Linked DNA regions of Nothobranchius furzeri. The protein of the gene in region 1 purifies or fractionates together with the protein of each later gene. This does not show direct contact. Links are inferred from orthologs where the notes say so. Each region holds a gene or a part of one and is shown in the gene's direction. Other genes may lie near its edges.

Evidence for each region.
Region 2: the proteins of mad2l1 (region 1) and rnf8 purify together in Homo sapiens (co-immunoprecipitation; 3 studies listed by BioGRID and IntAct, with this or other methods). This does not show direct contact. The link is inferred for Nothobranchius furzeri from reciprocal best matches to the Homo sapiens genes MAD2L1 and RNF8.
Region 3: the proteins of mad2l1 (region 1) and kif20a purify together in Homo sapiens (affinity purification with mass spectrometry; 4 studies listed by BioGRID and IntAct, with this or other methods). This does not show direct contact. The link is inferred for Nothobranchius furzeri from reciprocal best matches to the Homo sapiens genes MAD2L1 and KIF20A.
Region 4: the proteins of mad2l1 (region 1) and anapc7 purify together in Homo sapiens (affinity purification with mass spectrometry; 3 studies listed by BioGRID and IntAct, with this or other methods). This does not show direct contact. The link is inferred for Nothobranchius furzeri from reciprocal best matches to the Homo sapiens genes MAD2L1 and ANAPC7.
Region 5: the proteins of mad2l1 (region 1) and anapc1 purify together in Homo sapiens (affinity purification with mass spectrometry; 3 studies listed by BioGRID and IntAct, with this or other methods). This does not show direct contact. The link is inferred for Nothobranchius furzeri from reciprocal best matches to the Homo sapiens genes MAD2L1 and ANAPC1.
Region 6: the proteins of mad2l1 (region 1) and anapc4 purify together in Homo sapiens (affinity purification with western blotting; 14 studies listed by BioGRID and IntAct, with this or other methods). This does not show direct contact. The link is inferred for Nothobranchius furzeri from reciprocal best matches to the Homo sapiens genes MAD2L1 and ANAPC4.

Annotation. Positions count from the first base shown.
Region 1 is NC_091743.1:87,157,328-87,161,575, reverse strand, and holds the start of mad2l1 (mitotic spindle assembly checkpoint protein MAD2A), read left to right. Parts: upstream 1-1,448; 5' UTR 1,449-1,585; coding exon 1,586-1,649; intron 1,650-2,915; coding exon 2,916-3,062; intron 3,063-4,248. UniProt on the Homo sapiens protein: Component of the spindle-assembly checkpoint that prevents the onset of anaphase until all chromosomes are properly aligned at the metaphase plate.
Region 2 is NC_091742.1:8,358,452-8,362,709, forward strand, and holds the start of rnf8 (E3 ubiquitin-protein ligase rnf8), read left to right. Parts: upstream 1-1,458; 5' UTR 1,459-1,589; coding exon 1,590-1,712; intron 1,713-1,878; coding exon 1,879-2,007; intron 2,008-2,150; coding exon 2,151-2,593; intron 2,594-2,801; coding exon 2,802-3,009; intron 3,010-3,439; coding exon 3,440-3,502; intron 3,503-3,637; coding exon 3,638-3,727; intron 3,728-3,802; coding exon 3,803-3,910; intron 3,911-3,996; coding exon 3,997-4,201; coding exon of another isoform or gene 4,202-4,208; intron 4,209-4,258. Other genes in the region: aida (axin interactor, dorsalization-associated protein), read right to left, coding at 1-2, 84-150, 773-879. UniProt on the Homo sapiens protein: E3 ubiquitin-protein ligase that plays a key role in DNA damage signaling via 2 distinct roles: by mediating the 'Lys-63'-linked ubiquitination of histones H2A and H2AX and promoting the recruitment of DNA repair proteins at double-strand breaks (DSBs) sites, and by catalyzing 'Lys-48'-linked ubiquitination to remove target proteins from DNA damage sites.
Region 3 is NC_091750.1:46,176,495-46,180,436, forward strand, and holds the start of kif20a (kinesin-like protein KIF20A), read left to right. Parts: upstream 1-1,142; 5' UTR 1,143-1,161; exon of another isoform or gene 1,162-1,243; 5' UTR 1,244-1,305; intron 1,306-3,942. UniProt on the Homo sapiens protein: Mitotic kinesin required for chromosome passenger complex (CPC)-mediated cytokinesis. Following phosphorylation by PLK1, involved in recruitment of PLK1 to the central spindle. Interacts with guanosine triphosphate (GTP)-bound forms of RAB6A and RAB6B.
Region 4 is NC_091757.1:28,335,477-28,338,976, reverse strand, and holds part of anapc7 (anaphase-promoting complex subunit 7), read left to right. Parts: intron 1-3,382; coding exon 3,383-3,500. UniProt on the Homo sapiens protein: Component of the anaphase promoting complex/cyclosome (APC/C), a cell cycle-regulated E3 ubiquitin ligase that controls progression through mitosis and the G1 phase of the cell cycle.
Region 5 is NC_091752.1:26,758,761-26,762,928, forward strand, and holds the start of anapc1 (anaphase-promoting complex subunit 1), read left to right. Parts: upstream 1-1,368; 5' UTR 1,369-1,500; intron 1,501-2,640; exon of another isoform or gene 2,641-2,779; intron 2,780-3,312; 5' UTR 3,313-3,336; coding exon 3,337-3,552; intron 3,553-3,649; coding exon 3,650-3,814; intron 3,815-3,943; coding exon 3,944-3,986; intron 3,987-4,096; coding exon 4,097-4,168. UniProt on the Homo sapiens protein: Component of the anaphase promoting complex/cyclosome (APC/C), a cell cycle-regulated E3 ubiquitin ligase that controls progression through mitosis and the G1 phase of the cell cycle.
Region 6 is NC_091748.1:39,288,442-39,292,591, forward strand, and holds the start of anapc4 (anaphase-promoting complex subunit 4), read left to right. Parts: upstream 1-1,350; 5' UTR 1,351-1,529; intron 1,530-2,162; 5' UTR 2,163-2,170; coding exon 2,171-2,278; intron 2,279-2,360; coding exon 2,361-2,466; intron 2,467-2,535; coding exon 2,536-2,668; intron 2,669-2,751; coding exon 2,752-2,826; intron 2,827-2,904; coding exon 2,905-2,931; intron 2,932-3,016; coding exon 3,017-3,061; intron 3,062-3,161; coding exon 3,162-3,246; intron 3,247-3,465; coding exon 3,466-3,573; intron 3,574-3,647; coding exon 3,648-3,818; intron 3,819-4,150. UniProt on the Homo sapiens protein: Component of the anaphase promoting complex/cyclosome (APC/C), a cell cycle-regulated E3 ubiquitin ligase that controls progression through mitosis and the G1 phase of the cell cycle.

The DNA of each region.
Region 1 (4,248 bases):
CTTAAAATCCTGTGGTACATATCCATTTACTAAGGATAGATTGATTATATCTAGAATGGGGGCAGTAACCAAAGGAAATGCTTCTTTAAATTATTTGGTTGGGATTGGAACCAAAATGCAAGTTGAAGGTTTAGATGAAGCTAATATTTTTGATAAATCTGAAAGCTCAACTGGATCAAAACGGTTCAAACACAGATGAGGTTCTACTGTTACCTCTGATGCTGCCTCACTTACTGAGGAAGAAGAAATCGCATTAGGGAGGATGCTAAAGATTTTGTTTCTAATAGAATTAATTTTACTTGTAAAAAATCCCATGAAGTCATTGCTGCTGAGGGCTAAGGGAATAGATGGCTCAGAGCTATGATTCTGTGTAAGTTTAGCAACTGTACTGAAAAGAAATGTAGGATTATTCTTATTCTCTTCAATTAGCTATGAAATATAAGCAGTTCTAGTTTGTCTAAGCTTATTTTTATAAAGCACAAGACTATTTTTCCAGGACAGGTAGGCCTCCTCATGGTGCGTAGAGCGCCATGTTCTCTCCAATTTCCTAGAGTTTTGTTTTAAAGCTCGTAAATGAGAATTAAACCAGGGAGCCAACTTCCTGTCCCTAATTACCTTCTTTTTTAAAGGGGCAACATCATCTAATGCCACACGTAAAGAGGAAGTAACATGATGAACTAAGGTATCAATTTGTGAGGGGCTAGAAATGAAAATATTGCCCTGTGCTACATGCCTCTGAGATGCTGAGGACAGTAAAGATGGAACAGTTGATTTAAAAGACGCAACTGCGTTGTCAGATAGAGACCGACTATAGTGAAATTTACTTTCATGTCTCGAGAACTCAACTCAAAGGTTATCAGAAAGTGGTCCGAGAGGACTGGATTATGTGGAAAGATCGTTATTTCCTCACACTCTATGCCATAAGTCAGCACAAGGTCTACTCCCTTCTGGCTAAACTCTTTCTCTGCCGTAGAAACTAGGGAGAGAGGTGCAGATTATTTAATCCGGCCTTCATAACAACCATTTACAACTATTTTATTTAGTCACTTGTTGGTTTGAGTCTTTACAGTGTTATAATTCTCCTGTCACAAGGTTCAGCTGTTTAAAGAGTCGGTGCAGGAAAATCCACCTCAGGACCTGCTTTTGTCCTCACACGCTTTAGCTGTTGTGTTCAGGCAGTCATTTAAACTCTCTTATAAAAAGACGGAGGTCAGACAATAAGCCGGTGACTTCATGGGAAAAACACTTTATAAGTTAAAATAAAATAACTTACATACAATAAAAACTAGATACAAGGATTAACCATCCATCCATTGTCCTCCTCCCATCTGGGCTTTGGTTGCAGACGTGACCCTGTGTGGATGAGCGGATGCAGAAAGCGGATGGCTCTACGGTTACACTTATCTACACTGCCCTCTAGGGGCATACAGATGTAAACGCAGCACTAGGGCGTGATCGGCACAAAAACGCGCATGCGCGTAGTGTCCAGCTGACACATTTTCAAAGTAGACGGCGGGTAGTTGAGTCGTACATAGAATCAGCACAAAGCTTCCTCGAGGAAAGCCAACCAGTAGCAGTTGGAAAGATGACCAGCACGCTGAAGGGAATCACTCTGAAAGGAAGTACAGAACTAGTGGCCGACTTCTTCTGTGAGTGTTCATGTCTCTGTTCCGCCTTTTGAACGCCGTTGACACGACGCGCAGCTAGCATGCTAGCGGGCCTCGGTGTGGCTCACCCAGCGTTGCAAGCTAAAGTCTGGTAAAGGGATACAAACGTGTTGCCTGAAGGTTTTTAAACAGGTCGGTGCTCTTACAGGTAGCGTTTCTGATATTTAGCATTTGGTGTAACTTTAACGTCAGTTGAACGTGTTGGAGGCAGTCCGCTCCGCTGGTGCAGAAATCCCGTTGAAAGACGAAAAAGAGCTCCGTTTACAGGTAAAACTGCACTGTTCTTGTGTGGCTTGTATGCCGAATCGATTAGAAGAGCGACATCAGTTAAATATATCGTGCTCTTATTCTACAACTTGTGTATATTCCTAGCAATCTTTGTGAAAGCTACATTTACCCGTTTAATGGACGATGTTTGGTCCAGGATGGAGTTGCTTCACACTGAAGATTCTTTACTCTTCATATTTAAATATTGCATACTTGACTCTTCCTATTCTAAACCAATCTCTGCTCACACACACACACACACACTCAGGTGCAGCAAATACAACGTACAAATGTTTTGTTTGTTCACAAAGATTTTAAAAGTTTAGCATAAAATAAGAAGGCAGGAAAACTTAAAATATGACTAAAAAATCCCTAAAGTAAAACGGGGAGTGGCCCCCTTATATCAGTTTTCTATTGGGCCATTCCCATCTGTACCAGGCCGGGTAGCCCCAGTCGGCCCCAGCCTGGCCCGGTTGATTCCACACATCCTTGCCTTAAGCCCATGTGGGCTGATTCTACCCACCAATCAGAGGCTTGCTCTAATGGAAGGTGTGAATTTGCTGTCAGCAGTGGGTGTGTTGGCCCTGGTCGGCCTGAAGCAGACCCCCTCGAGAAGAGGGCTGAGAATGAGCCTTGGTTGGCCCGGAAACATACCAGGCCACCCAGATATGTAAACAACCTACGCTACCCGGGCCGACCCGGTACAGATGGGAATGGCCCATATTTCTAGTCACAACCACCATGGTATACAAACACGTCGGTCTTCGTTCTGCAGAAACTCTTTACACTGACATGAGTCATAGGTGACTCGCTTTGCAGCACAGATGATGAGTAGACAAGCTTTAGTTTGACTGCTTGAATCAGAGATGTGCAGATGTGATTAACAGGAAACATTTCCCCCTCATTAGATCGTCTTATTCCTGTAATGAAGGGTTCTTGTGTTCTAAAACATGACGTGAAACTGCCCTCTGTTCTCCTCAGCCTTTGGCATCAACAGCATCTTGTATCAGCGGGGCATCTATCCTCCAGAGACGTTCTCCAGAGTCACACACTATGACATGAGTCTGCAGGTCACCACTGACTCCAAGCTGAAGAACTACCTGACCAACGTGGTGTCTCAGCTCAAAGGTAATTAGCTGACCGACCAACTCCGACTGGAGCTTATGCGTCCTCAAAGAGTGCCCAAACAGAGGTCAGAGGTGTGTTTGACTCGAGGGAATGCTCCTCTGTTCTTTGAGCTTTAGGCTCCACCCACATTTACCTTGTTGTTGAATCTAGGCAGCTTGGGGTCTCTACTGTAGCGTACCAAACCCAGTTGTGAAGCAGTAATGTTGTAATGGCCACGGAGAAACCGTTCGCTCTGAGACGAGCTTAGAGACGCCACCTTACATCTGCATGTGCCAACCCGCGGCCATGCTAGCTACAAATGTTTCGGTAAGCTTACCGCCGTCCGTTATTTCTGTTTATGTGGAGCTGAGAACCGACCCACTCCAAAACCAGATAACAGGTATGGGTGCCTGCAGCGGCCAAAAGGCCTCAGAAACTACCATCTGCTACTGTCTTTCCCTAATCAGTGATTTCAGCCATGTTTGCCTTTCTAACTGTAATAACTCTGCTGTATGACCCACGCCAGCATCACCTACTGTGGTGGACGTATTCATGCCTTCAAATGAGCTCATGTTGTTTTCACCTGGGCAAGAAAAACAAAATGACCAGATAATCATGACATGTCCCACCTCTTGTATTATGTCCCCCAAGCTAGACAGGTGTTGTCAAAAAAATCGATACCTAGATATAAATTGATACTAAAAGTGGTATCGATATTATAGACTATTATACACAGCCTTCTTCAAGTACACCGACACGCACGACATCCAGATGCCGTAAAGCAGCCTCCCCTTCCCAGACAAACAGAAGAAGCTGCCGCATGGCTACATTGCAATTTCCCACGCGAGTTGTCTCCGATCCAAGTTTTGTCTGCCAAATAAATAAACAAAAACATAAACATCAAATTTGGGAGGTGCTTCACAGCCCAACTTAATTAGCATACCAAATCCGGCACGTAGTTGTGTATTCACGCTTATGTGCTTAAAGGAAAACTCCCGTTTATTGCAACCCGGACTTAATTCTAGCATGCAGTACGTTTGTTTACTCACGCTGACAACTTTGGTGCTGCTTGGATTCCCCGGGGTATTTAGATCCATTAGCGAATCGCCATCAGTGTATATCCATATAACGGGAGCGGACAGGCACCCATGGTGCAGCCTCGAAATAAGACATTATCTGCACCAAAACATCTCAATGTCGAAAGTTT
Region 2 (4,258 bases), on another chromosome or scaffold:
TTCTGAATGTCCAGAAAGAAACAAGATGCTGTGATTTGAAGCAAAGCAGGCGAGTTTAGCCTGCAGACTGATGCAATTATTACCTTCTGCTCTTCTGTGAAATCTGATGAATTTGAATTTTGGACCTCTTTCTGCAGCTGCCTTGCTAATCTGGATTAACGAGAACAGTTAGATGGGTTAATCAATCAATTCCAAGACGATTTGTCACATCAGTGGGCTGTTCTGCGCCCCCTTTTGGTCAACGTGGGACACTGTCAAGTCATCTATCTGCACTAAAGAAATCTAAAACGTGTCATTAAAATGAATTATTACATAAACATGATCACATCCTGAAATAACTTGCGGAGTCTGATCTCCTCAGAGAACAAGAGAGCTTTCCTCACTGAACACACGAAACCCACCCATAACAATGAGAGGGTGTGGCTGACTGTTTCCCAACACTCTAAGGAATATTGGTTATTCTCTTCTCCTAACGCTCAGAAACAAGACATTCAGCTTTGGGTGTTTCTTTTTGTTCTTCTCCCCTCTGTGAATGAAGATGGGATGGGACTCCGCTGCCTCTGCAACAATGCCACATCACGTCATGGATGGGAAGGGTTTATTTACTGCTGTGGGGGCTGACTGACAGCTCCGAGGCTAACTTCTGCAGGTTTAAGAGCTGACAAGCTTTAAGACAGCAAAAAAATAAAAAGCTAAACAAGCCGTCCTCGCTGTTCCAGATGTTTACACTCAATCGTACAAAAATAAGACACACATGTTGAATGTAACTCACATTTGGTACTCGTCTATAGCCTCTACCAATTGTCCCCACGAGTCAAAGTCTGTGCCTTTCTTGAAACTGGCGTGCCATTTCTGAATAGTCTTGTTGACATCAGACATTTTGGCGGGGCGGATACTCGCGGCGCTCTCAGGGCAGCATAGCCGAGGTGGAGATTTATTTACGCAGCTTCGGCAGCCTGGTTATCTCCCGTCCAGACATACGCGGATAAGACCGGTGACACACGGACCAAGCCCTTTCTGCCTGTTCAACACTGGGACTTCCGGTGCAGACAGGAAGTCCCGCCCCGGGGTTAGGTGCACTCGTTTTAGGGTGCTGGGTTGCCTGACTGAGAACAAATCACAACAACAAAGTGCTCTAATTTGAATTTTCGATAAAAAAAATTCATTGCTTTAAAAAAAATTTAAACTTCATAAAGCAAAAATATATTTAATATATTAAAATATTTATCATCCAAAATACTAGCATTTACTTTTTAACGTTACTTTCATGTTTAAAAATGTCAATAAATAAAGAGTAACGTATCCCAGAAACCTATTCTATTCATACTTTTTTATTTATTTTGCCTTGTTCAAAAGATTTACAACACGTGATACGTGCCGTTATACAAGAAATAATAAATAAAACATTGATATTTATTTTAGCAGTTTCCCGTCGCTTTTATTTCGAAATGAATTGTACCGTTTTCCGGTGTCTCCCGGATCGCTACCGCGTTAGCATGTAGCAGTTATGTGACGGAAGACACACATCGACATATACATATAAGACACAACAACAGCGGAGTGTTTGGCCTGTGACAGAATGGCTTAACATGGATAGTGCAACGGCGGATTCATGTTCGGCTGAGGACGGTGAATGTTCGGACTCGGAGGTCTTGTGTCTGATGAGAGTCGGAAAAAAATCAGACTGGCTTCGTTTGTTCGAAAAGGCAGAGGTACAGTTTGCTAATGTTAGCTTAACTAAAAAAAATCATTTTCAGGATTGTGCTATGTATACATACAATAGGCATGCCATTTTATTCATTAAGTTTTTTCTAACGGCGTAGTGGACCCTGTTTATATGGAAAAACTGTAAATTGACGTTTGTTTTTGACTGCTCAGATCACTGTTGGACGTGGTTTGGATGTCACCTACCAGCTGCTGTCTTCAAGTAGTCCTCTCATGATCTCCAGACTGCACTGTGCCTTCAGACAGATAGAAGACGGTCACTGGACAGTGGTAGACAAAAAGGTAGCCTTATTTCTTGAGCTAACTCTCCTAAAATTGATCTCTAACAGATGATGGGGCTATTATTAACAGCAGCAGCTAATACCAAGTTAAATCTTAGTAAATAAGTTATTATTATTATTATTATTATTAATTATCTTCCACAGAGTCTCAATGGTGTCTGGGTGAACGGAAATCGGATTTCTGCCGATGAACCTTACCTGCTCAAACTTGGAGACTCGATCCGACTTGGAGTTCCTTTATCAGGAACCAAAGTAGAATTTGATTACATCCTCATCCGGCGACTGCTCAGAAACATTCAGCCGTACCTGGCAAAGGCATGTAGAACTTGGGCTAAAGAGCCGCAAGTCTCCAAAAAATCCAAAAGGAAGTTGACTGTGGAGGAAGTCGAGCCTTCTACATCAAAGCCTAAGCTGTACCGCTGCGATTCAGAAGGGAAATCTTTTGCAAAACCCTGTCCTCTGTCTGCGGTGAAATGCCAGCAGCGGCTCAGTAACACACACCTGGAGGAGACGGCATCCAGCACACAAAAACAAGAGCAGCACTCTGATGGATCCAGTGATCCTTGTGAAGTGGACAACCTGCAGAGGTAAAGTGTGACTCCTCGTAAAAAAGGTTCTCAATCAAACCAAAGACACTGCTCCTTTACAAGCTTTTATTTAATACATTTGCTGAATTATGTGTCACATATTCAAACAGACTCCTCTCTACTTTTAATGAAAATAATACTCTTTAGGAGTTGTCCATTCTGATGTTCTGTTGTGTAAAAGTTGTAAATATTAATGTATAACCTGCAGGTACAGCCAGAATCTCCTGCTGTTACGGGAGCAGGTGGATGACACCCAGAAGCAGGTATCATCTCTTGGAGGAGAACCCAGGCGGGCAGATCCTCTCCGACGGGAGCAGGTCCGTGAGCTGCAGGGTCAACTGGAAACCCTTAGAGCCAAAATGTGTCAAATGAAGACTTTAGAGAGAACCTTCAGTAAAACAAGGAGACAGTTGGAGGTCAGGAGTGTTGTTTTTTTTTCTTTTTGAAACATCGTTACATTTTCATTCCCCCAACCCGCAATTGCTTTATTTTACAGCGTTAGTTTAACTTTTAATTCTCCACATTTCAAAATGATTCAGCCATACTTTAAATAATCTTGGTAACGTTGCAAAAAAAAGATCTTAAACATAACAAAACCTGTTAAAGAGCTACATTTCTGCATCATATTCCATATCGATATTAATATTCCAGAGCATATTAATATTGAGCATCTTTTTTGGGGTTTCAAACAAAAGCGCCACATATGGAAAGTAACACGTTCCTCACCCTTCTTGTTCTGACATATGTGAATCAAAAGGTTCATCTGCATTTACAATTAGAAAAATATATATGTCCATAAAAATAAAGTTTCAATTTAAGTGAATCGTCTGTCTTTTATGCGTTTAGGAGCAGAAAACACAGCAGCAAGAGGAGCTAATGAAAAAACAACTTGAAGAGGCTCTTCAGGAAGTAAGAAGGTTCAATTAAACTAATTAAAAGCTGTTAACACATTTAATTTAAACTAACAGTTTTTTAGTTTATTTCTTTAAGTTTTTGATTAAATGTAATAAAAAGTTTTTTTGTGCCTGTTTTTTCAACAAACAGCAAAAGAAAGTGATCGACGAGCTTGCCGACTCTCGAAAAACATTTGAAGAAATCCTCTCTGCGAAAAACAAAGAACTAGAAGAAACAAAGGTGCCTGAAAGACACTTTTTAAAACACACATTTTTACCTTGGTTGTCACTTTGATTCATATTTTTTTTCCTCCAGGAGGAAAAAGAAAAGGCGAAAGCCCAAAAGGAGGAGGTAGTAACACAAGTCACAGAGGTTCTGGAGAACGAGCTCCAGTGCATCATCTGCTCAGAGCTCTTCATCGAGGTAGAGCCAGGAACCTGTTTGGGATCATCTTACTCACAAAAACCCGACTTCACCTGCTGAAATTAAAAAAAAATGTCCCTGTACAGGCGGTCATCCTGAACTGTGCTCACAGCTTCTGCTGTTACTGCATCAAGTTGTGGCGCAAGAAGAAAAACGAGTGTCCCATCTGTAGACAGGCTATCGAGTCCCAGACCCGGTGTCTGGCCCTGGACAACTGCATCAACCGTATGGTGGAGAACCTGAGCCTGGACATGAAGGCCCGGCGGCAGACGCTCATCACTGAAAGGAAAGGTGAGAGGTGTGTTCTCATCATCCACGCCAAACTCATAGAAATGAATCATCCATCTT
Region 3 (3,942 bases), on another chromosome or scaffold:
ATGCTCCGTGTTCTCTTCCCCATGGCTAGGGATGGACTTCTTTTAGACCTCTGAATAAATAAAGTCCTGTTGTTGCCACACTTACTTTAGGGATTGTAGTGGGTAAACACATCTCACAAGTTTGTAGTCCTTGTGTTCTGTAAGTTTATTGTGTTGATTATTTTTTCCATTTTAGAACTGATGCTGCTGGCATAGATTTGTGTAAATAATAATAAAAAAACAGATAAATGTTTTTTTCTTTCCATTGTATCTTCAATATTAGTCACTGATTAAATAGTTTAAGTGTAATTAATTTAATTTCTTATCAAAGAAAAATGTTCAACTTTTAGAAAACTAAAATCTTTGCGGCAATAATAACATTATTATTTGATATGAAGTCGCTGGTTGACAAGATGTCCACAGTGATTGTAGAAAGTGTCCACTGGAACCCTCTCTACTGAAAAAAAACCCAGCATATGTTGGTTCAACATGTGATGCTAATCCTGCATGAGAGATGCTGTTAATTGGATTCTAGACCATCATGCAGACTAGCATCCATCCTGGACCAGACAGCATCCCATGCTGACTAGCGTCGTGAGCTGGACCAGCCAGCATCCAAAACACAACTTATCCTAGTTTTTTTTTTTTCTGCAGGTTTGCCTTATTAGCCATCTGATCCTTTAGGTCAGGGGTGTCAAACTCAAATTCACACTGGGCCGAAACGAAAATCTGGGACGAAGTCACGGGCAAAATATGCTTAAAGTTTAGGTGATTGTTCACATTATTGGTGATTAGTTTGACAGGTTTAAAAAATATTCTGAAATTAATGAGATGAAAAAGTGTTGACAAGTAAAAATAAAATTGTAAAAGAAGCAGGTACTTTCAGACACCTTGTTTTTGTGACATGTTTTAAATGTGTTGGAAAAAATAAAAAATTTTAGCTATGCAAAATGAACATGCTATCTTAAGTTTTTTTCAACCTAACGTCGTGTAACAGGAACTAATAAAATTCACCTGTTCGAGTACGGAGCGTTTATGTTGCGCACAACGTATTAGCCAATCAGAAGACAGCAAATTTGAGTTGTAGCCAATCAGAGACTCGTCAAGCAGGAGAAGCGCATTGTTCAAAAAACGTTACAAGTCATCGGGTAAATTCAGTCAGCTGGAGCTCAGAGAGCAACGGTACTAGATACAGACAGGTTACGCGATTAGCCACAATCTCGACGCTTTATTAGTTTGGTTTATAAATATTTTTACTTTCTAGAAGCGTTTGTTGTTCTAATCACTGGAACCCAGCCGCTAATTCCTACAAGCTTCTGCTGAAAGGTGGGTCATTCTACGGAACATGTTTACTCACGGCCGAATACTTGGGTTTTATAATCCTGACGAACCTAACCACTGTTTCTTCTGTTGTGATTGGTTAGAGTAAATGTACATGTTTTATTGTTAAACCACCACTTATACTTGTGTCTTCTGTCGTGTGCTTCACTTCTCCCATTTGTGTTTCGGCAACAAGAACGATATCAGCCATTGGACCATCCAGTTGTCGGTCTCCCACACTTCCCTGGGTCCTCCATTACTTACTTGTGTATTTAACAAGTGTGATGTGTGCTTTCAGACTAGTGATGGGATTTGTGGCTTTATCATGGGAGCCGTTCATTAGTCGGTCGTTTACGTCAAAGAGCCGTTCAAAAGACTGGCTCCTTTGAACGAAGTGAAGCCAAGAGAGGGGGATCAATAGCACTGTCTTCCTGCAGTGTCTGTGAGGGCGCACGGGGTTGATTAACGTTCCTCCCACAGATATGCATGTAAACACTTGTCTATATACATATCCATGGTTCCTCCTACATCCGTCACAGCAGTGGGTGGGGTTTGAGGGGGTGAGTTTGACCGACTTCCGGGGAGGTTTGTTAAGATGAACGGCTCTCTGCAGGGACTCGGCTCTCATCATTCACTTTGAAAACCCTTTCAAAAGATTCGATTAGTTCGTGAACGTCACATCACTATTTCAGACAGTTTTTAATCAGCATTTTTGTCACTAGGCGCCACTAAAACACACAGATTGGTCCTTAAACATGATAATTCACAACAGAAAATATGAATACAATATAATTATTTAGACAAAACAATACTCTGAAGTGTCAGCTGGTTTTCTGAGTGTTCAAGTGCTTAAGAAATGTATTTTTTGCATGCTTCTATGTGCAGATAGAAATGTGTGCCAGACAAAAAAAAAAACTGTTAGAAATGCTGTTATTGGCACTGGGGAATCAAACTTGTGTGTTTTCCTGTTTGGTTCTACACGAATCACCACATGCCCTTCTGAGCTGCTCTTTCCAGAACTGCGCTGCTCTGGGTGGCTGCATGTTGGAGTAGCTCTGTTGACTATATGCAAGTTTAGCCTTTTCTTGGACATTTTTTCTTCTAGTTTCTCAAGAAAAACAGTATTTATTTATTTTTTTATATTTTACTTTTCTGTTTCTGGTGCTGTGAAGCTTGGAGGATTTTTACTATTTTTTCACTTTTTGAGCATTTGTTATGTGTAACCATGGCAGCTAGCTGGTTTACAATCGGGAGCAGCTGATTAACATTGGAAAGGCTGAAATAATACCTCAACTGAAGCCACAAATCCCAAATGAGCTAAAAAGCAAGAAGCGTGGGTGCAGAGCGGGAGCAAAACGGAGATAGAGGAAATTCAAACCATCTCTTCCATCAATCATAATGGGCAATGTGAGATCACTGGCCAACAAGATGGAGGAACTCCAAGCCCTTTCAAGGACTCACCCAGAGGCCTGTGCAGAGCAGCTCTGTGGGATTCTGCAGCACCTCTTCAACCTCAGCCTGGCCCAGGAGAAGGTTCCAGGCCTGTGGAAGACATCCTGCCTTGTTCCAGTTCCAAAGAAAACTCGCTCATCAGTTAATGACGACTACAGACCGGTTCCCCTGACATCCCACATCATGAAGGTCCTGGAAAGATTCCTGTTGGTCCACCTGAATAAGCAAACTAGGACATATCAGGCCCCGCTGCAGTTTGCTTATCGCCATGAGTTGGAGTTGAAGATGCCATCATCCAGCTGCTTCAACCAATCCACTGTCATCTGGACAAAGCAGGCAGCACTGTGAGCGTCATGTTGTTTGATTTCTCCAGTGCATTTAACACACTCCAGCCTGATGTACTTTGCCAGAAACTCCAGAAGACACAGGTGGGGGCCTCAACTATCACCTGGATCAAAGACTACCTGACAAACAGACCACAGTTTGTGAGGCTGAAGAACTGCACATCAAACCAGGCGATCAGTAACATTGGAGCACCACAGGGGACTGTACTCTCACATTCCTTTTTACCCTGTACACCTCAGACTTCCAGTACAAATCAGAGACCTGTCATCTACAGAAATACTCGGATGACTCTGCAGTTGTCAGGTGTATCAGAGATGGACAGGAAGCTGAGTACAGAGAGCTGGTGGAGCGCTTTGTGGCATGGTGTGGAAACAATCATCTGACCTTGAACATGAACAAAACATAGGAGATGATTTTAGACTTCAGAAGAAACAGGGTGGAGTCAAACACTGTTTCCATCATGGGAGAAGAACTGGAGGTGGTTGAGGAACACAAATACCTTGGAGTTCACCTGGACAACAGACTGGACTGGAGAAAGAACAGCGAAGCCGTTTACAAGAATGGACACAGCAGACTGCACTTCTTGGGGACGCTTGGGTCCTTCAATGTCTGTAGCAAGATGCTCCAGATCTTCTACAAATCTGTTGTTGAGAGTGTAATCTCTTCAGCCATCGTCTGTTGGGGTAGCAGCATCAGAAGCAGGGACCTGAAAATGCTCAACAGCCTAATAACAAAGGCTGGTTCTGTTCTGGGGACGACTGTGGAACCGCTGGAGGAGATAATGCAAGGAAGGATTCTCCAGAGAATCAAGAAAATGATGGACAACCCTGAGCATTCTCTTCACAA
Region 4 (3,500 bases), on another chromosome or scaffold:
ATTTGATTTGATATCAAATAGCATGTTATAATTATGAAAGACCTCTTAAAATGAGCAAGCAATTGCCAGTTATTCTTCAAGTTTTATTCAAAATTAGTTTGCATAACTTCAGCACTTCAACTTTACTTCACAGTAAACAAATGCCTGTGCAAAAAATAAGTAAACAACCTGAGCTGATTTTCCCCTCGTGTGAGAATCTGCTAGCCTGCAAGCCAGACAATAACTAGGAGGATAACGCTGCGAGCGGCTTCGGCCCAAACAGAACCAGAACCGCTCACGGCGCAAACAGCTCGCCAGCTGTTTCCCTATTAACACACGTCCGTTTTAATTTCTACACTTTTTTTTCTCACACTAACAAGGATTGTCGAGAAAGCATGTTTGCTGTGGTTTTGTCAAATTATACTGATCACAAAACATTTATTTACTTTCTTTCGTTTTCCTCCGCCACTCATAAATACCCGTGTCCTCCTGCAGAAACCCCGAGGGACAACGGACATCAATAACACAATAAAAAGTCCGACGTGTTGTGTAAAAACTGCTATTTTTAGCACATTTTAAGTCCGACGTGTTGCTACCAGATGTACGGTGTGAGCTGAAACTGAGTGCTACAAACGAAAAAGTCGCACAGTGCCTGCAGAATATATAGAAATACAGGCTAAAAAGCATTATCTTGTAGAGGCTCCGAGTTCCCTTGCAGAAGTGACATTTACAGGTGCTGCAGCACGGAGGATGTGGTGTTGTAGTAGGCTAAATCCATGTTGTTACAGTATTTACACTGGACTACGTTTTCCACCTTACGACGTGAAAAATGGTTCCACAACTTTGACATTTTCTGTCTTTTTCTCACTCCACCGGGGTACAAGTTGTCCGCCATGGCTTAAGAGAAAGTTAAGTTATATTCGCTACTCGCGTGTGCAATCAGTCCAGTGGGCATGTGCGTCACTTATTTCGGTCCGGGTGAAACATGACCCCGTGCGTTTGCAAAGCCATGAATTAATTAAATATGAATTAAACGAATCCTCGAGGCAGAGAATTTGACTCGAGGATTTTTTGTACTCGAATTATTCGAGGTACTCGAGGAATCGTTTCAGCTCTAGTGCCGTACACAGGCGCCACCGGTCCCTCCGACCACCACCAGCAGACAAGGGGGTGTAAGTGTCTTGCCCAAGGACACAACGACGGCGCCAAACTGAGAGGGGTTCGAACTTGCAACCTTCCGATTACGGGGCGAGCACTTGACTCGTGCCACCGTCACCCCTGGTTCCGACTCCACTGTGTGTGACTTCTTTTGTGCATGGAGGTCGCTTTGGTGCCGTGACCCGTTCACACTGGACAGTGTTCGGTGTCGCATTTCAGTCATAATGTGAACAGCCACACAAAATAATCAGATTTACTCAAAAATTCAGAATTGAGCATCAAGACCTGCATTGTAAACGTAGCCTAAATTATTATTTCAAAAACTCTGACCAAAGTGGAGATCTGGGGATTCTGTGTTGTCAGCATACGCTTGTAGACTTAAGCCTGATTCATGCTCCTCCGTCTGCGTCAGTGCGGAGACACGCAACGCCATTATCCGTCCTTGTGGGCCTGCCGGAGAGCTCCGCAAGGACGGATTGAGTTGAGCTCTCTTTTCTAAACATCCGTCAGTCGAGGCGGGCAACGCAAGCTTGTGATTGGTCAGGACGCCGCTGTTGTTTACAGTGCCGCCATTGCAAAGAGAGCTGAGGAGAACTAGCAACAGACACGGAGCAGCTTGAAGAATACCTCGCGAAAACACTAAAAATATGAACGTTTAATTCTCCCGTGACTGGAGGAGTGAAAAGATGCGCAGCAAGTGTTTTATTTGTGGACAGAAATGACAGGAAACGTGGGTTTAGAGGTGGGGAGCGCATGAAGAGGTGGGAGAATGAGAGACAAATATGTCTGTGTTAAAAGTCTCTTATATACACAAAAAACACAATATAAACGCACTATCTTGGACCGATACATGACAGGATACCACAGAACAGCGCTACGCCCTCTGTTGTCCTGCTGGGGAATTGCTTTGCAACACTCCCCAGGAGACGGAGAAGTATGAGAGCAAAACGCTTCCGTCAATCCGTGCGTGTCTGTCCCTTGCGGAGCTGACGGAGAAGCCTGAACCAGGCTTTAGAGTTTTAGGCTTTGCAGTGTCACTGCTCCCTACTAAATGACTGACATCACAAGTGTGACTTGCGTTTACACTCGTTTGTTTTAAAAAGCTCAAATGCTGCTCTATGTAGAAGACCACAGGCAAAAGTCAACAGGACAGCTATTGTCCACCACCTAATTATTCTTCATCCAAACAATGTTTTTTTTTTCTTGGGGAGGCGGGACTACTACCATCTACAGGCTTAGCATTCCTATGAATGTAATGGACTTTTTTTGCTGTAACTAGGGACGTCCTGTTCCGATATCGATATCAGCCCAAAAACACTATCAGATTATATTGGACTGCATGAAAAATCTCCGACATAAGCCGTCCGTTTCACTTTAAATTTCCTTCCAGCAATTCTATCCAGCAGCTCCCAGATCCAGCATGCAAAGTCAGCGTGGTCAGAGCGTGCATGCTAGCAAAGTAGCAGGGAGCAATGGCAACTGTGCGGCAGTCGTGTTTGTTAAAGTCCACAGAAGACGGTGTAACTCAGTGCAACATTTGCCATGCACAAGTTTCCCATGGTGGAACAGGACCAGCAAAGTTTAATACCTCATTGCACGTTTGAAGCAGCATCACAAAACACTGCATGAGAATTTTCACCGTTGAAACTTTGGACACTCAACTTGTAGCAGTTGGTAAAATGTGGGTTTTTTTTTCCTGATGTTCCTGCCCCAACTCTTCCCACCATTTGCTGACACTAAAACATAACTGAAGTGACCCTGAATTAGTATTTTGTACTTTAAAAATATATCTTTAGTTTATGTGTTTACTTAAAATATTTTTCAGTCTTTTAATTTATTTCTTTTTTTATTCATTTGTTACACGTTATGTTTAAGGTTTACGTTTATGAAACCAATGGTTAAAAAAATAGTAATTTCTTTCATACTCACTGTTGCTGGCTCTTGTTCTCCGATTGAGTAATATCTCACGATCAAGCCTTTCATACGTTCCACACTATGAAATAGGTAAAAGTATGTGTGATATGTGCTGTTATCAAGTCGGATTGGTATCAGTCAATACCGGTATCGTATCAGAAGTGAGAAAGGACATCCCTAGCTGCGGAGTGGATCCAGGGTTTTCCCTAGATGGGCGGGGATGATGTTCGGTTTTAAAAACAACCAGACTACACATTTCCATGGCTTCAGGGACTGAATTTGCTTCTTAATTCTCGTTCCTTTAAAATGAAACAAACACATTTTTCTTCAGTTCCCTGGAAAAGAAATCCCTTCTGCGGGACAACGTGGACCTCCTGGTGAGCCTGGCAGACGTTTATTTTAAAGCCGGGGACACTAAGAATGCTATTCTCAAATTTGAACAAGCGCAG
Region 5 (4,168 bases), on another chromosome or scaffold:
TAAGACTTCAAGCTACTGCAGCGTTTTTCTGTTAAAAATGCTGCTGCAGCTGACAGTCCCCTGCAAAGTTTCTTCAGAAACTTTTCTAGTTGTTTGTGTTACAGACTTGTGGGTCTCCTTAAGGCTGATCGGGGCATTTTACCTCTGCTGCAGCTGATGGATTGAGGTAATGTGGACCTATGAACCGTCTACAGGTGGTTCAGAATGCCTGTGCTCGGCTTCTGACCAAGTCCTCCAAACACACCCACATCACCCCGCTTCTCCTCCAGCTTCACTGGCTGCCAGTCAACTTCAGGGTTCATTTCAAGATCCTGGTTCTGGTCTATAGGGCCTTACATGGACAAGCACCATCTTATATTGGTGATCTTCTTAGTGCCTACACCCCCAGCAGGTCCCTGAGGTCCAGTGATCAAAGCCTACTGGTTGTGCAGCACACCAGGCTAAAGACCAAAGGTGACAGATCATTTGCTGCTGTGGCCCTCAGACTCTGGAACTCTCTCTCCCTGAACCTGAGATCAGTGGACTCAGTGGTCTCCTTTAAAAACCAGTGGAAAACTCACCTGTTCAAGCTGGTTTTGGTATGACCGTCATCACCCTCTCATTGTTCTGCTTTCCCTACCTATTCCACCTTCCTCAGGATCCACTGATCTCCCTCTTTCCTATTCACTCTCTCTCTTTCTTTACATTTTTTATCACAATTGTCTATTTTTTGCTCATTTAAAATATATTTCTAATTATTTTCTAAATTATTTTTTATTGTAGCGTTATGAATATGCCATTTCTGCCCTTAACAGCTGCCCTTTGACACAGTGACAGTGTGCATAAGTTGCCAAGGTCGTGCGCTTGCTTGTGATGTTTACATTCCAGCAAAGAAGACAGAAGAAGGACGAAGAATGCTTTTCATTAGTTAATCAAAGAACTTTATTTCTAATAAAGCTAATCAAAACAACTGTTGGTCAATAATAATCAGGTGACTGATCTGTGAAATCACAATGTTATGATTTGTGTTTAATGAATAACAGGACTTTGGACTAACTGAGCTAGACATCCTGATCCACATAAGGTAAACACATGACACATTGTTCACTCATCCAATCAGAACTTCCTTTCTGATGTGTGGCAGAGCTCTGTGGTGTTTAGTTAATCTGTCCACTCCGATTCGCTAAGAATCATAAACAACTGAGCTTAGTAAAAGAGAACAACGCCATTTTAATTTAGTTCCATCGCAAGTTTCAACGTAGTTCCAACGTGAGTTCAACCAGCTCTCAAATCCATCTGATGTACATCATCGCTAAGTGAAGTACAGGCTGGCCAGTTGTATTTTCTACTTTTAAGCTGAGAACTGTCAAGCTGGAAAACTATGTGACGCTGAAATCTGCCGTTGTACCGGGAGACTTGCCATAGACTGGTTTGTTGTGCTGCCGACGCTGTTTCACCAGTTCCAGCACCAAGGAGGGTTGAGGACCTGGCATCTGGATCTAACACGGAGGTCTTCGCACGGTACGTAGATCGGCATAGATAGCGTCTCATGTCTTCCTCCTGAAGTCCATCGTCGATCAGTTAGGGCAACAACAACTCGCACTCAGACTCGCTTTCACCAGATGGAGGTTCTGAACTGACACACACACACACCAACACTTCAGCTTACATCCATCTGCATCCATCATTAGAGAGTTAGTCCTGGTGACTGTTTCGAATAATTATAAAATAAATATTCTTAAACGTCCCAGCTCTTTCTCTCTTCTTGTCTCTAATTCAATACAAGGTGTTTGAATAAAATCCCCTGTGGTAAAAACAACCTCTTCTGATTCTAAGGGCCCGGTCCAAAGATTAATGATCCAGCTCAGGTTTGAATCAGTGATATCTCTGGACCTTAATAAAAGTGTAAGAATATACCAATTATATTCCGCTACATTATATTTTACTTTTTTTTGTGAAGCGCTTCGTGATTTTTATCTTGAGAGGCGCTATAGAAAAGATATTTTCTTCTTCTTCTTCTTCTTCTTCTTCTTCTTCTTCTTCTTCAGCTTGACTGATTTCTAACCTTTGTATGTACATTAAGTCAACTCATTCAAACCATATAATTTCTAATCTGATTTTCACCCACCAGAATGCTAATTTTTGTTTTTATATGTTTGTCTGGTTTTATTTTTTAATTCAATACATTATTAACCAGGTATCTTTTTCTTTTGTTACGGCCATTTTAGCCGGGTACAAACCAGCAATATGTATTATTTGTCAAACACAATATCCCTACGTATTGATGGTTGGAAATCATAGTTATTAAACACATTTGTCTTTATTTTTACCATTGTAATTTAATTACCCCAAAATCTTAAAAACAAATTTGACTTATCGATGAAAAATCGATTTGTTTGTGTGGTATGAACTATACATTAATTGGTTTTGTATTTTTAGACAAGTTAAGGGACTTCACTATTAATGTTTTACAAAACAGACTCACAAAGTAAAGAAAAAATACACAAAAGTCTCTGGTCGAGCACAGTCGAACACAGACCGTCCTGATCACGACAGCCAATCAGCTCCCAGTACGTAAATTTGTCGTTGCTTATTGGCTGAGCCGTGGAGGAAAAGGCTGGCTGGACAGCAAAGATGTCCGCGGTCATTTGAAAACCTGTTGTAGCCAAATCATTATTTTGCCAGCTTTATCGACTCGTTTTGTCTGTACGCAGCGGTCACACCGTTGTGCTCAAACAAGCCTTACAAAAATAAAAGACGAGGACTCCGCGACAAGAGCCAGACTATTCCTTATTATCAGGCAAGCGAATAAATATGTCCCTGTATTGTTAATGCTAATGCTAGCTAACACGCTATCTAGCAATTAACAGTGGTTCTATATGAGGGATTAGCTATAGCATGCTAATGTTTGGTTACTTCCAGCTGTATAATAAAAAGAGAGCTTTGCTTAAGGCTGCTAAAATAACCTATCGAACCTATTATGAACAGACGCGTAGCTTCTGAAACTATCGTTGACTACAACGATCGTAACAATCTTTAATAGAGAAGTGATGACTTAATTCGTGCTATTCTGCAATTGACTGTACTTATAGAATCTTAATTAAGAATAAATAAAATTATAATACAGTATTTAAAGACATTAACTGTTGCCAGAGTTCTTATTTAAAATTTAACATGTTTTCAGGTCTGAATAGGAGAAAATGCTATTTTAACTGTTCTGTCTAAATTGTATTCATGTCTTCCACACATGATTCAGTCTGTCTATCTGTCTAGAGAGATAGATTTGTGTGTGTGTCTTTCTAATTATTTATCTTTATTCTTATTTTGCCACAGAAATAATGCTGAAATCTGTAACTCATGTCGGAAGTCGTGTATGAAGAGACAGCCACGATGATTGCCGCAGGGGAATTGCAGTCGTTTGTCCCGTTTGGCCGCGAGCACTGCAGGAACCATCCAAATGCCTTCAACCTGCAGCTTCGAGAGCTCCAGCCAGCCTCTGAGCTCTGGTCATCTGATGGTGCTGCTGGCCTGGTAGGGTCTCTGCAGGAAGTCAGTCTGCAGGAGAGAGAGAGGGTGAGATTGCATGATCTTTGAGCGTTAATTTGAAATGTGCCATGTTTATTGTTTAGTAGTTCTTTGGTTCACACTAATGAATGGCGTTTAATTGAAGGAATGGTGGCAGCTAAGGAAGGGATGCACGGGAGTCAAAGAAGAGGAGGTCATGTTTGAAGAAGAGCTTTATGCGGCTGGAAACGTGGTTGTTTGGAGTCAAGGCAGCCGGACACAAGCCTCTAGTGTGTACAAGGCTTTCACTGTTGACAGTCCAGTGCAGCAGGTTGGCAAATATGAAAGCCAAATATCAATTTCTGTTTAGAAAATATAAATTTTAATTGTTAAATTCAAAGCTCAATGAAATCTCATGGTTTCTTTCCCGGTCTTGACACAATCTTGTTTTTTTCTGAAGGCTTTATGGTGCAACTTTGCTGTTCTTCAAAACAACAATGACGGTACAGTAATATTTAAGACCGTTTGTTGTCGGCTAGTAAGAATTGCTGCAGCTCTACCTTTCTATCTTTATTGAAATGACTACATGCTTTTAATTGTTGTCTTTTTGCAGAAGAAGTGGAGCAGACGATTTGTATTGTCCAGAGCAGCTGTATTAATGTTCACACTGTGACTGGGAAAGATT
Region 6 (4,150 bases), on another chromosome or scaffold:
ATGTGAGAAAGAAACAAAAAGAGGCTTTGCCTCTCTCCCCAGAAGAGCAGCCTTATTGGTCAGATGACAGGTAGGATCTTTCAGGTTTAGGGTCCAATTGCGTTCTGCCTCTGCAGTGGGCTGCTGTCCCATCTGTGCTGGTCCCTAACTGCTCTCTGAGTGGGGCTAAATTTGGCCCCTAGCTCATGTTACACAGCCAGACTGCTGGCAGGAGCAATGAAGACTGAGGGGGTCTAGGTGAACAGAAGGAGCTCAAGGTGTTGGTTAATTATACACAGAAAGCACAGGATGTTGGGATGGCTAAGTTTCACACCAATTGTGCTGTTGTATGCAAGTACAACAGAATGTTTGTAATCTTTTATGATAATCTGAACTGGCCACATCTGAAAACACACAATAATCACCCATTGACCTCTCAGACTGAGCTGGTTCCTCCATGGCTTTAAAACAACTCAAAATTATTATGAGGATCTTGAAGAACCCGGTCACTATTCGGTCCGATTCCATTCTGCACACACATATGGAATGATGCTCAGCATTTTTGTTAAACTTCATGCATTTCCTGATTTCTCACCAAGCGAGACAGATATCCTGGGCCTTGGAAAGAATAAACCATGACCACCATGCAGCCTCACTTGGTCTATTTCTAGTCCACCATCACATTTTGTGCTCTCTGAGCTATTCTGGCTCTTCTTCATTCTGCTGATTACAGTTAAGTGCTGCTGATAAGTCCAGTAGGAGTTTCCATATACACTCACAATACACACGTGTGCAAACACTTGGTGAGTAATTTGGATTTCTACTTGACAATTGTCATCACCCAACCCTCTGTATGAAGTGTTATTTATAAATAACTACTTTATCCAATGGCGACGTCTCCATATAACATGTGTACAGCATCTATTTATGAGTACTGAAATATTTTAGCATAGTTTTATATCACCAGAATGAAACCACCCTTGCAAACTTTCCTATATTTCTAATGGAATTAATATAATTTAGTCAACCTTGAATTTTATGATCACTTTTAACTTTTAAATCCAAACAAATTCTAAGCAATGCATTCAATTGACAGAGAAGTACAAAAACACATTATGAAAAAACTTATTTTATATTTTGTCCTAAACCCTCAAAGTTTAAATCTACTTTTTAATCTGCATAGAATATAACATTTATTAAAAAATAAAAATAGGACCAAAACGTTAACTTTAATTTGTTTTAAATCCTTACCAAAGGCGCCATCATGGGGTGCAAATCTCTAGACATATTTAGGAATCGAGTTTTTTTTTATTCCCCCCCCCCCCCCCCCCTTCTGAATACGTTTGTCTCTTCTCGGCTGCCGTTGCTCTACAGGGATTGGTGGAAGTAGAAATATGGCGGTGTTTGAGTGACTGCGAAAATATTACGATGAGATATTAAATTCGTATATTTACGATTTGGGTTTATTTGGTGTTATCGTCTGGTCGGGTTAAAATAATCGCTGTGAATCATCAGTTTTACCTGCTAGCTAACAGCTGTTAGCAAAACCGGTGAGTGAGGCTCCAGCTAACGAGCGGCTAATTTATGCTTCATAAAATGAGTTGGAAATGGAAAAGTGTTGTGCCTTTAGCTCCCTTTTTGTTTTTGAATCTCGTTAAGTACTTCAATGTTTTCTCTTTTAGTTGTGACCCTGAAAACTCTACTGTTATCACGCAGAAAACACATAAATGTTTCAAAGCTCGTCTCCATCGCAGTGTAATTTAAGGTCTCGTTGCTCTCCGCATTGAGTTGTATTGTTTAGTGTGTCTTATTGCTGACGTCATGCTCATAACTCGGTTCTTTCATTACTGATTCTTGACTCTGCATTTGGGCCTCTGTATTCAAATGCTAACATTTCTATTTTTCTTTATTGTTACAATTATTTATTATCTTTACAGAAAAAGATTTTTAATATTTAATAATCAGTTGTATATTCAATAGTAAACGAAATATTGAAAAGGTATGTGATTTTTGATGATTATTCTGTTATGCATGTACAGGTTTATTAGATGTTTTACAGATCACTCATTGAATCTGTTCTCACTTTTAATAGCCCATCTTGGTACATCTTCTAAACCTTGTAATTAGGCCCCTGCTGGCCATTTATCACACAATAATGAATGTAAACTTTCTTTCTTTTTCAGCTAACAACATGCCTGCCTTTCGGCAAGTGGGAGAGAAGCAGCTTCCAAACCCGGTCCTCTGTATGGCATGGTCTCCAAAGAGGGATCTGATAGCTCTGGCCAACACAACTGGGGAGGTGACTTTAAATCCCTAACTGTTCTGAATCAAGGTGACTGTTTCCTGTTGTTTGGATGGTTTATTATTGTGATTTTCAACAGGTGCTACTGCATCGCTTGGCTAGTTTCCACCGGGTTTGGAGCCTACCACCCAGTGAATATACTGGAAAGAAGATAACCGCACTTGCTTGGAGGCCTGATGGCAAAAGTAAGGGATTTTTTTTTATCACATTTTTGTCTTAATGGAATTGTGAGAATTTGTTTTTTGTAACCCCAGTATTGGCCTTCAGTCTTGGAGACACCAAGCAGGTTGTCCTTTGTGGGGTTGAGAAAGCAGAGATCCTCCACATGTTTCCAGTGCAGAGTCCTGTAACCTGTATGAACTGGATGGAGGTGATGGAGGAGAGCAGGTAATCAGGAAGCTCAACAAACATACCACGTTCTGTGAAATCTTGTCAAAGCTGATATGAAGGATTTTTTGTGTGTGATTCAGTGTCCTCAGCTCCTTTTACACTTCAGAGGATGAATCTAAACTTTTTCTTCCTAAATTACCAACTCTTCCCAAGAGGTAAAATTAAAAATGTTGTCACAAGAAAAGACATTTTGGATTGACTGGCCTGATATTTGTCCAAACTTTTGTTTTCAGCTACAGCACAACTTCAAAGATCTTCAGGTGGGACATCTTTTTTTTTTATCATAGATGTATGTGGCATGTATAGCACAAACAGAAACTGACTGCATTCATTTCTGTTTCACAGTGAGGAGAAGTCTGATGAGATACTCAACCTCCTTGGAGAAGTGAGGTAAATATGGTTAGAGTCACTTACTGCCAGGAGCAAATGGACATCCTTAAGATATTGGAATTTTTATTTATGGGAACCAATGAAAGCTGTCTCCATGCAGACTAAATGTACTTGTTCTTGGAGGAGATGGTGGAAATGTGGAGCTGTATGCGTACGGGATGTACAAGATTGCAACGCTGGATGGGGTAAGGCAGCTCTGTTTGTTCAGATGAGTTGTTCCATTTGTCGTCTGTAAAAAAAATTTACCAAAAATGTTTTTAAGTGACTCTAAAGTTAGCATAGATATTTGAAATCATAAAAATTCTAATTTAAATGCAGGAAAAAAGTAGCTAATTATGCCAAAAATCTTTAGTAGACGGCATTAACGGATTTGACTGTGACTTTAATTGATGAACTTTCTACAGGTTTCAGGAACATGTCGCAGTCTGAGTCTGTCGAGTGACCTCAAGTCTCTGTCTGTCATCACAGAAGTCAAGTCTGCTGACAGCAGCGCAGACATCTGTTACGTCCAGGTGAGATGGACACGTTCCTCCTCCACACTTTGTTTTTCTTTCCTTTAACTCTAACTTCCCTCCTTGTGTTTCAGCTGGACACAGGATTGTTGTCGGACTGTTTGCCTGAACTCACCAGGATGGCGCGTAAGTTCACTCACATCTCCACCCTGATGCAGTACCTGCACCTGTCACTCACATGCATGTGCGAAGCGTGGGAGGACATCCTCCTGCAGATGGATCATCGTCTCACTAAGTTTGTTCAGGTCAGTTGTTTTTGTTTCCTGTCAGAGTTTTTCCTGGCAGACCACCACACTTCCTGCCTGCTGTGTGAGTTTGTTGGACAATTAGCAGAATTTAGCATGTGTGCTTATTAGTGATGGGATTTATAGCTCTTTCAAGGCGGCTGCTCGTTAGTTGTTCGTCTACCTTAAAGAGCAGTTCAAAAGACTAGATCCCTTGAACGAAGCCATGGGGGTGTATTTGGGAGCAACGTGTTCCTCCGGTGTCCATGAGGGCGCGCGGAGAGTGGGTGTCACAGCAGTGGTGGGGGTTGAGCGGCTAGGGGGGTTGTCGTTACAGGAAGACAAGATGAACG